Linked DNA regions of Ovis aries. The protein of the gene in region 2 purifies or fractionates together with the protein of the main gene of each other region. This does not show direct contact. Links are inferred from orthologs where the notes say so. Each region holds a gene or a part of one and is shown on either strand. Other genes may lie near its edges.

Region 1 (7,418 bases), on a different chromosome or scaffold from region 2:
TCTGCACCTGGCAGCCAGTCATGGGCACCGTGATATTGTACAGAAGGTATGTATGAACCCCTTGATGCACATGCCTGGAAGTAAGACACAGGCATTATAACATAACGTACAAAGTATGTGTACTCATCTCCTTCCTTCCTTGCATGCCTTAGTACACTTCTCTCATTTGGGACTGACTGTACCTTCTACCTCTTTCTATTTGGCTATGGGCACCAGCTGCTACAGTACAAAGCTGACATCAATGCGGTGAATGAGCATGGGAATGTGCCCCTGCACTATGCCTGTTTCTGGGGCCAAGATCAGGTGGCAGAGGTGAGTACTCAGGCCCTGAACTCTGGGATGGGTGGGAAGAAGTTTGAGCTTGAGTGGGAGACTCTGGAACCCTCAACCCATCCTGTGAGTACTGTCCTGTGTGCAACATTCACAAGGTTTGTACTGCATCTGCACTCATGCTTAGTTGGGAATGCCCTCATCACAGCCATCTCTTAATTCCAGGACCTTGTGGCGAATGGGGCCCTTGTCAGCATCTGTAACAAGTATGGAGAGATGCCTGTGGACAAAGCCAAGGCACCCCTGAGAGAGCTGCTCCGAGGTCTGTCCCCACCCACCGCTGTGTCCTCGTCTTGTCCTAGCCTGTCTCTTTCCACACAACAGCTGAGGTCAAGACTTTGTCTTTCTTCCCCAGAGCGGGCAGAGAAGATGGGCCAGAATCTGAACCGTATTCCATACAAGGACACATTCTGGAAGGGGACTACCCGCACTCGGCCCCGTGAGTCAGCTGTGAGGGGAGGGGTGGTGAGAGAATAGTCCTGGACTCCTGGGGCTGGGAAAGAGGGAAGCTGGGTGCCTGACCTGCCCACACTCTCAGGAAATGGGACTCTGAACAAACACTCCGGCATTGACTTCAAACAGCTCAACTTCCTGGCGAAGCTCAACGAGAATCACTCTGGAGAGGTAACTCCCCACCCCACCCTATTACCTGTTGTGCACCTGTTTTAAGTCTCTCCTCCAGTTAGTGGGCAAGAAAACAGTGGCCTTAGTTAAAGCCTTCTAACCCTTATCTGTCCCTCAGCTATGGAAGGGCCGCTGGCAGGGCAATGACATTGTCGTGAAGATGCTAAAGGTTCGAGACTGGAGTACAAGGAAGAGCAGGGACTTCAATGAGGAGTGTCCCCGGCTCAGGTGGGGCAAGGCCTAAACTGGAAGCCTTGATTTCAAGGAGCCCTGTCAGCACCCAGAGGGAGATCTTTTATGCTGGATCTCAGCCAGGGGCATTCTCTCCCTCTTCCAGGATTTTCTCACATCCCAATGTGCTCCCAGTGCTTGGTGCCTGTCAGTCTCCACCTGCTCCTCACCCGACCCTCATCACACACTGGATGCCATACGGATCCCTGTACAATGTGCTACATGAAGGCACCAGTGAGTAGGGAGTGCCAAATCTCACTGCAGCAGGGTGTGGGGAAGGAAAGTCTGTGAGCCTCTCCAAATGATTTAACTCTTGCCTTCTCACTTAGATTTCGTTGTGGACCAGAGCCAGGCTGTGAAGTTTGCATTGGACATGGCAAGGGGCATGGCCTTCCTACACACACTAGAGCCCCTCATCCCACGACATGCACTCAACAGCCGTAGTGTAATGGTGAGATCACAACTTCACTCCCGGCCCAAGCCCCAGAGGTCCTTTCCCTAGAATAGGACTTACCTCCTTCCACACAACTATCTTCTCTTCCTCAGATTGATGAGGACATGACTGCTCGAATCAGTATGGCCGACGTCAAGTTCTCCTTCCAGTGCCCCGGGCGCATGTATGCACCTGCCTGGGTGGCTCCTGAAGGTGAGTGATGGCATTATGATGTGAGGCAGAGAAGGGGCAGCTCAGTAGTAATGGAAGGGAACACAGACAGGACAAGCAGCTGGAACAGATAAGTCCTATCCCTCTAGCTCTGCAAAAGAAGCCTGAAGACACAAACAGACGCTCAGCAGATATGTGGAGTTTTGCAGTGCTTCTGTGGGAACTGGTGACACGGGAGGTACCCTTTGCTGACCTCTCCAACATGGAAATTGGAATGAAGGTGAGAGCATAACTGGATATACTTGTGGTGGTAGTGACAATAATTGTAGTGGGGCTGGGCTCCTGCCACATTGATTCAAATACACAGAATCCTGTCCTGAGGGCTAGACGTCTCTCCCGACATGAGACTCAAGTTCTGAGACTCACCTTGTTTTTCCTTGTGTTTGCAGGTGGCATTGGAAGGCCTTCGGCCTACCATCCCACCAGGCATTTCCCCCCACGTTTGTAAACTCATGAAGATCTGCATGAATGAAGACCCTGCTAAGCGGCCCAAGTTTGACATGATCGTGCCTATCCTGGAGAAGATGCAGGACAAGTAGAGCTGGAAAGTCCTTATCTGAACTCCAGAGGTGTCAGGACACGGTTAGGGGAGTGCACCTCCCCAAAGCAGTAGGCCTCTGGTTGCCTCCCCTGCCACTAGTCATGGTACTACCCCAGCCATGGGGCCCATCCCCTGCCCCCATCCCTACCACTGTGGCCCCAAAAGGGAATGGGCTCAAAGCTTTGTCACTTGCCACACGGTGTCTCCCAGCATGGGAGGGATCAGCCCTGCCTGTCACAATAAAGTTTATTATGAAAACAGGCTGGTGTGGGGACAAGAGAACAGACAAGTACATTTAGACTGGGTGGCTCAGGTGAAGTAGTGCGGCTTCTTCACATTGATGCCATACTCGCTGAGGGCAGGGGTCAAGTCCTCCATGGTTAGAGTGTACTTGCGGTCCTGAGGGAAGAGGGAAGAGCACCAGCTGAACACAGGAATTCCAGATTTCAATCCCAGGCAGGTGACCCTGAGTAGGTCTTTCACCTCCCCTAAGGCTTAATTTCCCTCAAAGGGGTTTCAGGATAATTTAAGCCTCTGCTGCTGTAGGAAGTAATTACTGAATCAATGAGCCTCCCCTCACACCTTGCTCTTGCTTCGGGAGCTGCCAGAGGCTGTGCCCTTCATTTTGCAGTGCTGTAGGGCATCGTTGGCAATATCTGAGATGAATTTCTGGGCAGCTAGGGAGATGAGCCGAATTCTGGAGAGAAAAAAATGGTATGAGAAGAGCATAGACAATAAACTCCACACAAACACCCAACACTCTAACCTGCCCAGAGTTTACTCACATGCGTGGGTCGGAGGCCTCAAAGCCAGCACGGTTCAGGTAGTAACCAGTCACTGCATCAGGGATCTGAGAAATCAATTAGACGACTGTAAGCGTTAGCCCTGTGTACAGCGGGGCTGAGAGTCGGGGTAAGGGAAATGGAGGGCAGGCCTGGCTATCAGGAAGCTCCCAGTTTGGGTGGGCAGAAGGGAAAAATCACAAAAGCTAGGAAGAGAAACACAAGAGGATGCTGCAAATCCAGATGGTGTGGCAGAAGTTGGCGTGACAGCGAGTCATTAGCCTTGTTCAGGCAGGAAGCCCACCGTAGGCGTGTAATCCTCCAGCTGCATCAGGAAGTCCACTAGAGGCGTGCTGGACACCACTGGCTTCACCTCTCCGTTGGCCGCGCTTGGCAGCACGTAAACCCCGTTAGACATGGCCCCCTCCGGGGGCGCCGCGCCGCCGGTCGTCACTGGAGCTGGAGGAAAACCAGCAAACTGAGACACGGAGGTGGGAGGCTCGAGGGTTCCGCTAGGTGTGTCTTACCCTCTGCCCTCACCCGCCGCTGGGCCCAGCCCAAAGCGCGGCCCTCGCCCTCACCCGTCCCGGCCCTCACCCGCCCCGCGCCGCTCGGCAGGCTCCCCGGCCCGCGCCGCCACGGCTCCAGTGCCCCCTGCCGCGGCTCCAGCCCCAGGCCCCCCTGACGTCCCCGCGGGGCTGGCCTTGTTCTCCGCGGCGGTGCCGGCGGGCAGCGCGGCGGGGGCCGAGACCGCGGGCGCCGGGCCCGGGGCCGAGGCGGCGGAGGCCGGCGCCGCCTCGGGGTCCGCGCCGGAGCCGCTGCAGCTCATCGGGCCGGTGGGAGAGGCGGCGAACAGAGCCGCTTCCGCTTCCGTTCACCTTACGCACACACCAGGGGTGACGTCACGCGCCCCACGACTCGTTCCTCCCACGCCACGTTCGCTCCTCCCTTAGGCCTCCTTCCTTTATTCCCCGCCCATCCAGCCGCTACCTGACAAAGGCGGGAGGGCGGAGACCAAGTGTTGCGGAACTGGGCTGGCGCGGACATTTCGCGTCCGGACCCGCGGTTCTCCAGTGTGGATCCGCTGGGATGGGAACCCCTCAATGTCGAGGATTCTCTTCTATGGGCTTGAGGCCCCCTCACCCAGCCTGACGTCTAAAATTCTTGCTTTGATGCTCATCGCCCCGACACCTCTCTACTGTTGGTCGCCTGCGTGTCTGCATCTTTTCTAAGTTCCTTTATCCAGCCTTTTAAGGGTTTGTAGTGGAGTTGAATAGCCTCTTTCCCCGCCAGCTGCCCAAAGTGAAGGTAACCGGACAGCTGACACAGTGCTGCTGCAGATGGGGAGAGAGGTACAGTCCACCGTCCGTATAGGTGGTGAAGGGTTGGTAGGATTGGTTCCGGGACTCCCCCGACTCCCGTCCCCAACCCATGTATACCAAAATCCGTGGATGCTCAAGTCCGTTATATGAAATGGCATAGTATTTGCACTGTATACTCTATATAATCTCTAGATTGCTTATAATATCCAATGCGATGTGAATAGTTTACTGGTGCATGGTAAATTCAAGTTTCGTCTTTTATAATTGGAATTAAAAAATATATATATCTTCAGTTCACGGTTGGGTGAATCTGTGGATGGAGAACCCGAGGATACAGAGGGATGGCTGTCTTTCAGTCTTAATAAACAATTTATGTAAAATCACGGCTAGTGAAAGAGTGGGGTTTTCAACACAGCAAAAATTTATTTTTGTCAGTCCTGAGCTAGGGTCTGCAAATACAGAGTTAAGTAGGAGAAGGTTCTACTCCTCCGGGCACCAGTGGTCTTGCAAAGGGAGGCATTAACAGTTAAACTTGCCATTTCACCAATATATGGGAGTTAAAATACTGGAGGTAGACACAGGGTGTGCAGTGCAAGGGAGGAAGGGAACTAATAGTTGCTGCCTACATCTGTGTGTTAGGCATTCCATTAAGTTTATTCCACTTAATGATTTCCTGAATATTAGAGGCAGGTATCAATATCCTCACTTAACAGATGAGGAAAAAGTCTCCAAGAGTTGAACTTACTTCCCCCAGGCTCTCTCTAGTCTATATCAGAACCAAGAATCTAGGACTTTTCTGTCATACCCACATCAACTAGCTTCAGGGAGCCAAAAGATTCACAAGAGGTGAGCTGAGTTTTGAAAGAATTCTGGACCTCAGCCAGGCACAGGAAGCCAGGGGTAATGTTAGGGCACAGAATATCTTGAGCAACAGTGAATGAAAGTGCATGGAGGGGAGTGTGGGGAGACCGGGAAGGGTAAACAATTTGTTACTTGGAAACAAATAGCAAGTAAAGAGATAGGTTTGTAAGTCATGATAAAAAGCTTGACCTATATCCAGTAATCTTTGAAGGCTCTTAATTAAGTAGATGACCTCATGAGATTTGCTCTGATAGTTGGTTTTGGGGCTTCCCTTGTGGCTCAGTGGTAAAGAACATGTCTGCCAATGCAAGATACCCATGTTCCATCCCTGGGTCAGGAAGAACCCTGGAGAAGGAAGTGGCAATCCACTCTGTATTCTTGCCTGGGAAGTCCCATGGACAGAGGAGCCTGGTGGGTTATAGTCCATGGGGTTGCAAAAGAGTCAGACACAACTTAGTGAATAAAGAACTGGTAGATGGTTTAGGGAAAGGCAGGATGTAAGGGCACTTCTTGCAAGGGCCTCAATTCAGAGGAGCGGGAATATGGCTCACAGCTCATGTAGTAGCAGTGGAGCTGGAGAGAAGTAGATGAATTCAAGATACACTTTGGAAATATAATTGGAAGAACTTTTGGGTTGATAAAGATGTATTTAAGAGATAGAGTCAGTAGGACTTGTTGACAAGGAGATGATGGGAGGAGGTGAAGGAAATGGGAAACTTGGATGATACTTTAGGTTTCTGGCTCAGTTGGAAGTGTCAAGCATAGTGTCATTTATAAATAAGAAAAGAGAACAGTTTGGGATTGGGAAGAACGGAGATGAACTATTGAGAATTACACATCTTGCTTTTGAGGTATCAATCCCTGTAGGATGGAAAGTCCGATTTAGTGAGATGGTGATGGCTGTGGATGCCAGTCATTGATTTGTTTCAGTGGACAATGAGTCAAGTGAGAAGAGCAAAAGACAAAGGATAGAGCAAGGATACTACATGGATTAGGTATGATTAGCATTTACACAGTTGTACCATTGCAAATCCTGTATGCAGCTCAGACAAAAATAGAATTGTATCGAGAGGACAAAAGAATGGGTGGTGCGGATTTTGAGTGATTGGGACAAGGAAGAAGAATGATCACAAGCTAATAGGAAGTCAGTAATGGCTATAATTGGGCAGGGGGAAATCAATAAACAGCAACATAAGCATGTTATTTAGAGATAAACTAGTGGTGGAAAACATGCCTGCCAATGCAGGAGATTTAAGAGATGCAGGTTCCATCCCTGGGTCAGGGAGATCCCCTGGAGGAGGGCCTGGCAACCCACTCCAGAATTCTTGCCTGGAGAACCCCAAAGACAAAGGAGCCTGGCAGGCTACAGTCCATGGGGTCACAAAGAGTCGGACACGACTGAAGCGACTTAGCACACACTAAAGAATCATCAGAAACAGTTGAAATGATTGCCTCAAGTAGCAGGAAATGGGGGTAGATATATAAGGCGTGGCTATTTTTTAGCAGTAAGACTTAAAGAAGTATTTGACAATGTGCCCATATACTTTGATAAAATAAAAACCAAGAGTTATAAAATTTTACAAAAGGATAGAGCAACAAAATACAACAACGTTTAATGAGGAAGCAGAGAAAGAGAAGGAGGGAAAAGGGAATGAAGGAGGAAGAGGGAGTGGTCAGAGAAGAAGTTAAGCCCTGGAAGCTAAGAAAAAAGAGGCAGTAGGCTTCTATGACAGAGAGCTCACAAAGCAAAGGTTGGGAGTATTTCTTAGGGGGAAGGAAAGAGTAAAACAGTAAGAGTAGAGGTCTCATGGCAATGAATTGAGGAATGAGGATGCAGTGAAATAGTGTACACAGTGTAGAAAACACATTGGAAAAGCCTGGTTGAAAAGAAAAGAAACGGAGCAGGGGGCCCTGGGGGGTGGGGGTGAGAGTGGTTGTATGCAGGGGATCCTCCCAAATAGTGCTGGTTATGGCACCTGTTGAGGAACCTGGGGCAGGGGGACCTGAGTATGATGGAACAGGTAGGGTTGGGAGTCAAGTCAAGCTCACAGCATTTCTGGGTT
Region 2 (7,553 bases):
TTCCTGTATTGCCTTCTGTGTGTTTTAGTTGTTTATGTACCTGGCTTCTCTACTAAACTGTGAGTGTAGAGATTTTTCTCTCCTGTATCTCTTCTCACCTGAGCCTCAGGCCTCAACCCTGGACTAGATACTTGGGAGACATAAATGAAGGAAGGAGGGTGAGCGAAGAGCCTGTTGGCACTTCCAAGTGCACAAAGAGACCCTGCCACACCCCAGGCATTGCTGGCTGTATTTATCTCTTTGGGGCTGGGTGGGATGTCTCCCACAGATCCCGCCCCTAGGGAAGCACTACTCCCAGCGCTGGGCACAGGAGGACCTGCTGGAGGAGCAGAAGGACGGGGCCCGGGCAGCAGCTGTGGCTGACAAGAAGAAAGGCCTCTTGGGGCCCCTGACCGAACTGGACACTAAAGGTAAGTCCCTCACCTCCCTGCCCACCCCAGGCTAGGACTTGAGTTCCCAGAACTTCAGCCCACGAGTCTACCATGTGTCTGCCCAATTCAGATGTGGATGCCCTGCTGAAGAAGTCTGAGGCCCAGCATGAGCAGCCAGAAGACGGGTGTCCCTTTGGTGCCCTGACACAGCGTCTGCTGCAGGCCTTGGTGGAGGTGAGTACCCCCAATGCAAAACAGAAACCACTATCATTCTGTTTCAATGTTTGTTTATTGAAGTATATATTTAGAAAGGTACATAGGTCATAAATGTACAGCTTGATCGATTTTCACAAATGAGCAGCCTTGTACAACTAGTCCCAAGATCACAAAATAAAACATCATCAGTATCCTTGAAGGCCCTCTCATGCCCCTCCCAGTGTTTAACCTCCCCCACCTCCAGGGTAGCCACTATTCCACAGTTACTTTTGTGGAGCATTAGTGAAAGGCCCTGTGCAAAGGGCTTTCTACACATCCTCTTGTTAAAGGCAGATAGTGGTTAACCCCACATTACACCAAACAAGGTTGAGGCTCAAAAAAGGGAACTGTTTGCTTGACATCACACAGCTAACAAGCGGAAGCAGGCTTCAAACACCAGGTTCAGGTGCCCTTTCTTTATGCCCACTGGCTATCCCAAGCCATGTTTCTTCACCTATGAGCCTCAGTTTTCCCTCTGGCTCAAACACAATAGCCTCTTTCTCTCCCATGTAGCATTCTGGGCACATGTTCCAGATCAGTGGAGGCTGGGGGAGATCTCTGTTCCACACCATCAGACAGGGACCCCAGGTTTGCTGGCTTTTTAATTGTTTAAAAAAATGTATATATGTATTTTTGGCTGTGCTGGGTCTTCGTTACTGCTTAGGTTTTTCTCTAGTTGTGGCGATCAGGGGCTACTCTCTAGTTGGGGTGCTTGGGCTTGTAATTGCAGTGGCTTCTTTTGTTGTGGAGCAGGGGCTCTGGGGCGCACAGGCTCAGTAGTTGCAGCTCCCGGGCTCTAGAGCATAGGCTCAGTAGTTGTGGTGCCCAGGCTTAGTTGCTCTGCGGCATGTGGGATCTTCCTGGTTCAGGAATCAAACCTGTGTCTCCTGCATTCCACTGAGCCACCAGGGAAGCCCACTTTGCTGTTGTAAACATGCGCTCTGCACAGGATCACTCCAAATGTGACTGGCACTCCAGCCCACAGAAAAAGAGCAAGGAGGAGTGTGTGAAGATCCCGCTGGCTATGGCTCTTATCTCTTCTAATCACTTTCCATTGGAGAGTATTTGTCACATGACCACCCCGACTACAGGGGAGGCTGGGAAGTGGGGTTCATCTGGGCAGCCATTAGCCCAGCTCCTGTGGAGGAAAGGCGAGAATGGCTTTCGGACAGCCAGCAACCTCTGCTATGGTACAGCCCCTGTGCTCAGTACCGTGTGCCTAGCACAGCCCCTGGTGCACTGCAAATGCTTAACGAGCCCTAGTTCTTCTCATTACTGCTATTGAATGTTACCATCACTCTTCTGTGCTCCCTTTTGTATCAGTACAAAAACAAGAATTTATAAAATGATCAAAGCTTTTTGGAGCCAGTTTGGGAAAACTTCCCAGAGTGGGTGGAATGCGAAGAAGAAAAGATTTCTGGTATGTGAAGACTGTCCATGTAGGTCAGAGGGAAGCAGGAAATGGTAATACTACATCTCTTTCTTCCTCTGACCATCTCTGTGCTCTTCTAGGAAAATATTATTTCCCCCATGGAGGACTCTCCTATTCCAGACATGTCTGGAAAAGAATCGGGGGCGGATGGGGCAAGCACCTCTCCCCGCAATCAGAACAAGCCCTTCAGGTGAGTGACATCGTGTCCACACTCCACAGTCTGGCCTCTGCTTCTGCTGACTTCTGTCAATCCCAACGTGGGGTAGTCTTTATATTCATAGAGAGACCGAGGACATTTTGATAAAGCCCAATAGAAGTCAGATGTGCGTGCTGGCCCAGCACTTCCACGTACACAGACTTAGTTCAGGGTTTTCATTATGGCCCTGTTCTCACTGTAAACCTAAATATCCAACTGGAGGGGACTGGCCAGCTAACTCATTGTAACTCCATATGATGAAATAACTTGTAATTATCAATCATATTAGAGAAATATAATTAATTGATATGAAAAGATGGGATCAGTAGAGTGATAAGTGGAAAACATCAGTTGTAGCACAATATGAACAATATGACCCTATTTTTACTTAAGATATATTTAAATGTGTGCACATAGCGGGTAAGAAGTTAAAATAATACATAATAAAAGTGGGAAGAGAGACTTCCTGGGTTGTCCAGTGGTTAAGACTCCACACTACCAGTGCAGGGGGTGCGAGTTCAATCCCTGGTCAGAGAACTAAGATCTCACAGGGCCATGAGGTGTAGCCAAAAGATTAAAAAAAAAAGTGAGACTAATATGTAACACAATCTAGAATACGTATAGTGTTTATATAATGTGTGTGTTAGTCACTCAGTCGTGCCCGACTCTTTGCAACCCCATGGACTGCAATCCACCAGGTTCCTCTGTCCATGAGATTTTCCAGGCAAGGATACTGGAGTGGGTTGCCATTTCCTTCTCCAGGGGATCTTCCCAACCCAGGGATCGAACCCAGGTCTCCTGCACTGCAGGCAAATTCTTTACCGACTGAGCTACAAGGGAAGCCTTAACATAAAATACATATTTTTATGTATATACCACTGGAAAGAAAATGGTAAGTAATAATAACAGATAACATAATAATTCTCTCTAGGTTGTTAGCATTATAGGTTTTCCTGTATTTTATATTACATAATATATTGATATCTGTTGCTTGTGTCTGAAACAAGATGTGTCTGTCTCTGTATTTTGATATGTAGAGACAGAGAGGGTGTCCCAAAGAGAAGGGAAGGTGTTTGCTAGCTTGGGTGCCTCAGAGGGGCCCCCATGGGCTGGCCTTGAGCTGAGCACTGCCCTCCCCTGCAGTGTGCCGCATACCAAGTCCCTGGAGAGCCGCATTAAGGAGGAGCTGATCGCCCAGGGCCTGCTGGAGTCTGAGGACCGCCCTGCAGAGGACTCAGAGGACGAGGTTCTGGCGGAGCTGCGCAAGCGGCAGGCTGAGCTGAAGGCGCTCAGTGCCCACAACCGCACCAAGAAGCACGACCTGCTGAGGTGAGTGTGGACGGGAGGCCTCGGCCACAATGGTCCCCTTCTGGGAGCTTGACGACAGGCTTTCCAAACCTGGCAGGGCCTCTGAAGACCTGAGGAGCTTTGAAAAAAGAAGTCATTGCTGGGCACCACCCCACTGGTTATATCTCAAACAGTCTAATTCCACTGACTAGAGCTGAGCATCTGTGAGTTATTTATTTACCTCAAACTGTGGTAAAAACAAATAACACAAAATTTTACCCTCTAAACCATTTTTAAGTGTACAGTTTAGTAGTGTTAATTATACTCACATTGTTGTGTGGCTTATTTTTTAATTCTCTCCATGCTGATTTTCTTTTTCTCCCAAAGTGTGCTTTTTAAAAAAATTCTTGATCTTTGTTTTTGGTGCCAAAACTCAGGATTGAACCAGGGACCTTTTGTTTCGCCCAAGTTTTATAGTGAAAATTTCATACATGCAGAAAATCTGACGGACTAGCACAGTAAACACCAATATACTCTCTACCTCAGATTAGCAACTGTTAACATTTAGTTGGGCATCTGTGATTATCAGCCTCTCACCAGGAGTTGGCCAGTGTTGAAGTGCAACGTCACTCATTGTGTATTCATTCCCATACATCTTGCCCTGCATCGGTCACAAGGATGCAGGTGGTAACCAGAGGGAGATCACGGGAGGCACTGCCATTTTATTGGGGAGATAGACAAATAGCCCAACTAAGTCTCCTTGCTTCTGGTGGGTGCTGTGTCTTCACCTCACAGAGCCCCAGCAGAGCAAGGCACGCTCATCCATTTGGCCAGGTTGCCTATCTCTTAGACCTGGTCCTGTGGGTTAGGAGGAGAGGCAGGGCAAAGGGCTTACGGTCATTGCATGAGTGGTTGGCAAAGACACTCACCAGTAGGAACGAAAGTTGCTGACGAGCTGCTGCGGTATTTGAGGATGCAGGTGTACTGAGTGTCTACCATGTACCATGGGTTTTATGTCTGCCCTCTTACTTAATCTCCACTACAGCCCAGAGAGTAGCTGGTAGTTTTCCCTGTGCACCAAATGAGGAAATAAAGGCCCAGCGAAATGAGTGCTCTGCCGAAGGCCACACAGCCAGCAAACAGCCAAGCTGTGACTCAAGCCCAAGGCTGAGTCCAAAGCCTCATTCTAGTTCCCTCTCAAGGGCAAGAAGAGGAAAATACAGATGAAAGAGTACAGAGGAAGGGAGGGCAAGGGCAGAGGGGGGGAGAGAGAGAAGTACGGCTGTGCAGATGTGGAAGTCAGGGGCAGTGAAGGAACTAGCTTGGCTGTCAGAAGGCCCGCATGTACCCCTCAGTCCTGCATGGACAGGCTGCAAGGCATCTCCTGCCCCAAGCAGCAGCTTCCCCTTCTGAAAAATCAACAGGTTAGACTATGGATCTCTTTAGTGACCTTCCAGCTCCACCATCAATTGAGTTGATAGGTCAGGTTCCGTTCAGAGGCATTAGTTGGGCGTCTCACTCGCCTCCTGTAGACTCAGGCTGCCTGGACCCTTAGGTGGCTCTGGAATTTGGATGCTGAAGCAAGCAGGTCTTCTGCTGGCACCAGGGCACCTTTTAAAGATAGTGGGAGCCAGCCTGCCTCGATTCAGATCTCCTGTTCACTAGTTGCGGGATCCTGGGGCATTTCTTAGCCTCCTTGAGCCTCAGTTCCCTCACTGGTAACAAGAATAATAGTAGTACCTACCTCACAAGGTTGTTATGAGGATTAATTGAACTACTGTTTTTGAAGAGGCAGTACTTGGCACAGGGCACACCTAAGTGTGGCTCAGTAACTTTGCTTTTTGGTATGGAAAGGCCCACGGTCCCTGGGTAGCAGACGGGCTCAGTCTGGAAGAGCGAGGAGCCCCTGCAATCGTGGGCTTCCCACAGCATCTGGTTGGCTGGTCCCCATAGGCTGGCGAAGGAGGAGGTGAGCCGGCAGGAGCTGAGGCAGCGGGTCCGCATGGCAGACAATGAGGTCATGGATGCCTTCCGCAAGATCATGGCTGCCCGGCAGAAGAAACGGACCCCCACCAAGAAGGAGAAAGACCAGGCCTGGAAGACTCTGAAGGAGCGCGAGAGCATCCTGAAGCTGCTGGATGGGTAGCTCTCACCCCTGCTCAGGCCGCCTTCCCCTGGCCTGGGACGGAAGGCCCGCTTCCTTCGGGCTTCCAGAAGTTTGGCCTGTGGCTGCCTAGCTAGTGTCAAATGGCAGCAGTCTCTAGAGGCTGGGCCCTTCGCTGACATGTTCTGGCGAAACTCTGTACAGCCAGGACATGAGAGGCCCTGCTGGGCTGGCCTGGGACCCAGACTCTGCTTGGTCCCCCAGATGAGGGGGGGGCTTCATTTTTGGGTCATCCTCACCCCCTACCCTCCCTACCCCTTTCACCCTCAAGGACTTCTCCCTTGTGGTTTTGTAAAGTGCAGACTTAAGAATAAAGTGACTGAAACATGGTTTTTTTAAAAAGTATCCAGAATCTCTGCATGTCTGTTACTGTGGGGTAGAAAGGAACTGGTGTGAGTGGCAGAGTTGACTAGGGCATGCTCAATGGCTGTCAGCCTGTGGCCACTCACCCAGGTCATTCATTCAGGGAGAACTTTCTGAAGATATCTGTGGCCACAGGTAACAACATCTCAGCTCAAGGTGGTTTGACAATAAGGACATTGTGTTAGCTAGGGGTCTGGTGTTCCGGGGGCAGGGTGGCATCCACCAGGGTTGACCAAAGGGCCAGGGATCTCCACTCTCCCATGGTGTCAGCTTTTGCCTGAAGTAGGTTCCCTTCCTGCTGTGCAGTGGCAGCCAGTAGCAGCTGATGGAGGCCAAATGCTTCCTTATTTCTGTCCAGCACAAGAGGGCAGGAAGGCACCAGCTGGCTTCCACAGCCCACCCCAAAGAAGAAGAAGCCTTTCTCAGACACCCTTAGGTCTCACCAGCCCAATCTTGGTCCTACATGCCCATTCCTGAACAAGCCACTAGCAAGGGATGACTCTAATGGGTTTAGACCACTCTCCATGAGAAAGGAGTCTGCTTCCCCACTAAGCCTAAGGCAGTGGGGAGACAGGGTAGAACAGATGAATAAACACTCTTGTTTTTGTCTCCAACTGTTCCTAAACTCTCTGTGGTGTCAGAGAGTCAGAGAATATTTTGCAATTTACTGTGGGAAGGTTGAGGTCCACATGGAGGCGGAGTGGGGAGGTGCGGGGGGCAGAGATTCCTTGAGGAAGTGACCTATGAACCGAGCATTAAAGGAGGATGGCCAGGATGGCCAACATTCTTATACGGCCAACACGTCTCCTGTTAGAGAACTGCCTTTTTCCCATTCCACCTAGCTCTGTGGGCTGTCAAAAGAGGGTGGACACATGACACCAGCATGGCCAATCTCAGTCTGCCATCCCTCTAGCCACAATGATTGGTCCAAAGAATGGGCAAGTGACCCAAGCTGGGCCAATCAGAGGCCTTCCGTAAGCCTGCTCTATGGATGCTGAAAGAAAGGAGGACGTCTCTTTTGAGCGAAAAACCACAGAATATAAGCTTGAACCACCCAGTAACCCATTTTCCAGCCACATGGAAAAGTCTGCCTGAGAATACAGCTAATTTAGGAAGCAGAGCCAGGAGATGGAAGACAGAGCTCTCGAATGATACAGCTGATGCCCTGGATCCTCCACTGGAGTTCAGTTATATTCGCCCACAAATGTTTATTTCGGCTTACGCTAGTCTACTTTGGGGCTTTGTCATTTGTCAACTAGAAAAGATGTGACTAATGAAAGTGTATTTTGGCAAAAAGAAGGGTGGTGTGCGGTCCTGAGAGAAAGGACAGCATGAGGGAGGCTCTGCCTCCTGCTATGTGGCAGTGGAGGGCCGGGGGAGGTGCTGCTGCAGCTTTTCAGTGATTCACTGCCCTGCGGTTCTGTACAGCCTTCTCAGAGAGAAACACCCACACTTAATTTCTAAAATTAAGTGCTCAATAAATTC

Evidence for each region.
Region 1: the proteins of TADA3 (region 2) and TAF10 purify together in Homo sapiens (affinity purification with mass spectrometry; 5 studies listed by BioGRID and IntAct, counting the BioPlex papers as one, with this or other methods). This does not show direct contact. The link is inferred for Ovis aries from reciprocal best matches to the Homo sapiens genes TADA3 and TAF10.

The regions. Positions count from the first base shown.
Region 1 is NC_056068.1:46,193,565-46,200,982, reverse strand, and holds TAF10 (transcription initiation factor TFIID subunit 10), read right to left. Parts: upstream 4,027-7,418; 5' UTR 4,002-4,026; coding exon 3,770-4,001; intron 3,632-3,769; coding exon 3,477-3,631; intron 3,241-3,476; coding exon 3,176-3,240; intron 3,088-3,175; coding exon 2,973-3,087; intron 2,790-2,972; coding exon 2,700-2,789; 3' UTR 2,619-2,699; downstream 1-2,618. Other genes in the region: ILK (integrin-linked protein kinase), read left to right, coding at 1-46, 217-312, 496-592, 686-769, 869-954, 1,073-1,182, 1,292-1,419, 1,515-1,636 and 3 more. UniProt on the Homo sapiens protein: The TFIID basal transcription factor complex plays a major role in the initiation of RNA polymerase II (Pol II)-dependent transcription.
Region 2 is NC_056072.1:16,900,163-16,907,715, forward strand, and holds the end of TADA3 (transcriptional adapter 3), read left to right. Parts: intron 1-268; coding exon 269-410; intron 411-501; coding exon 502-605; intron 606-641; exon of another isoform or gene 642-1,139; coding exon 1,140-1,214; exon of another isoform or gene 1,215-2,138; coding exon 2,139-2,248; exon of another isoform or gene 2,249-3,397; coding exon 3,398-3,583; exon of another isoform or gene 3,584-3,659; coding exon of another isoform or gene 3,660-3,753; exon of another isoform or gene 3,754-5,494; coding exon 5,495-5,687; 3' UTR 5,688-6,050; downstream 6,051-7,553. UniProt on the Homo sapiens protein: Functions as a component of the PCAF complex. The PCAF complex is capable of efficiently acetylating histones in a nucleosomal context. The PCAF complex could be considered as the human version of the yeast SAGA complex.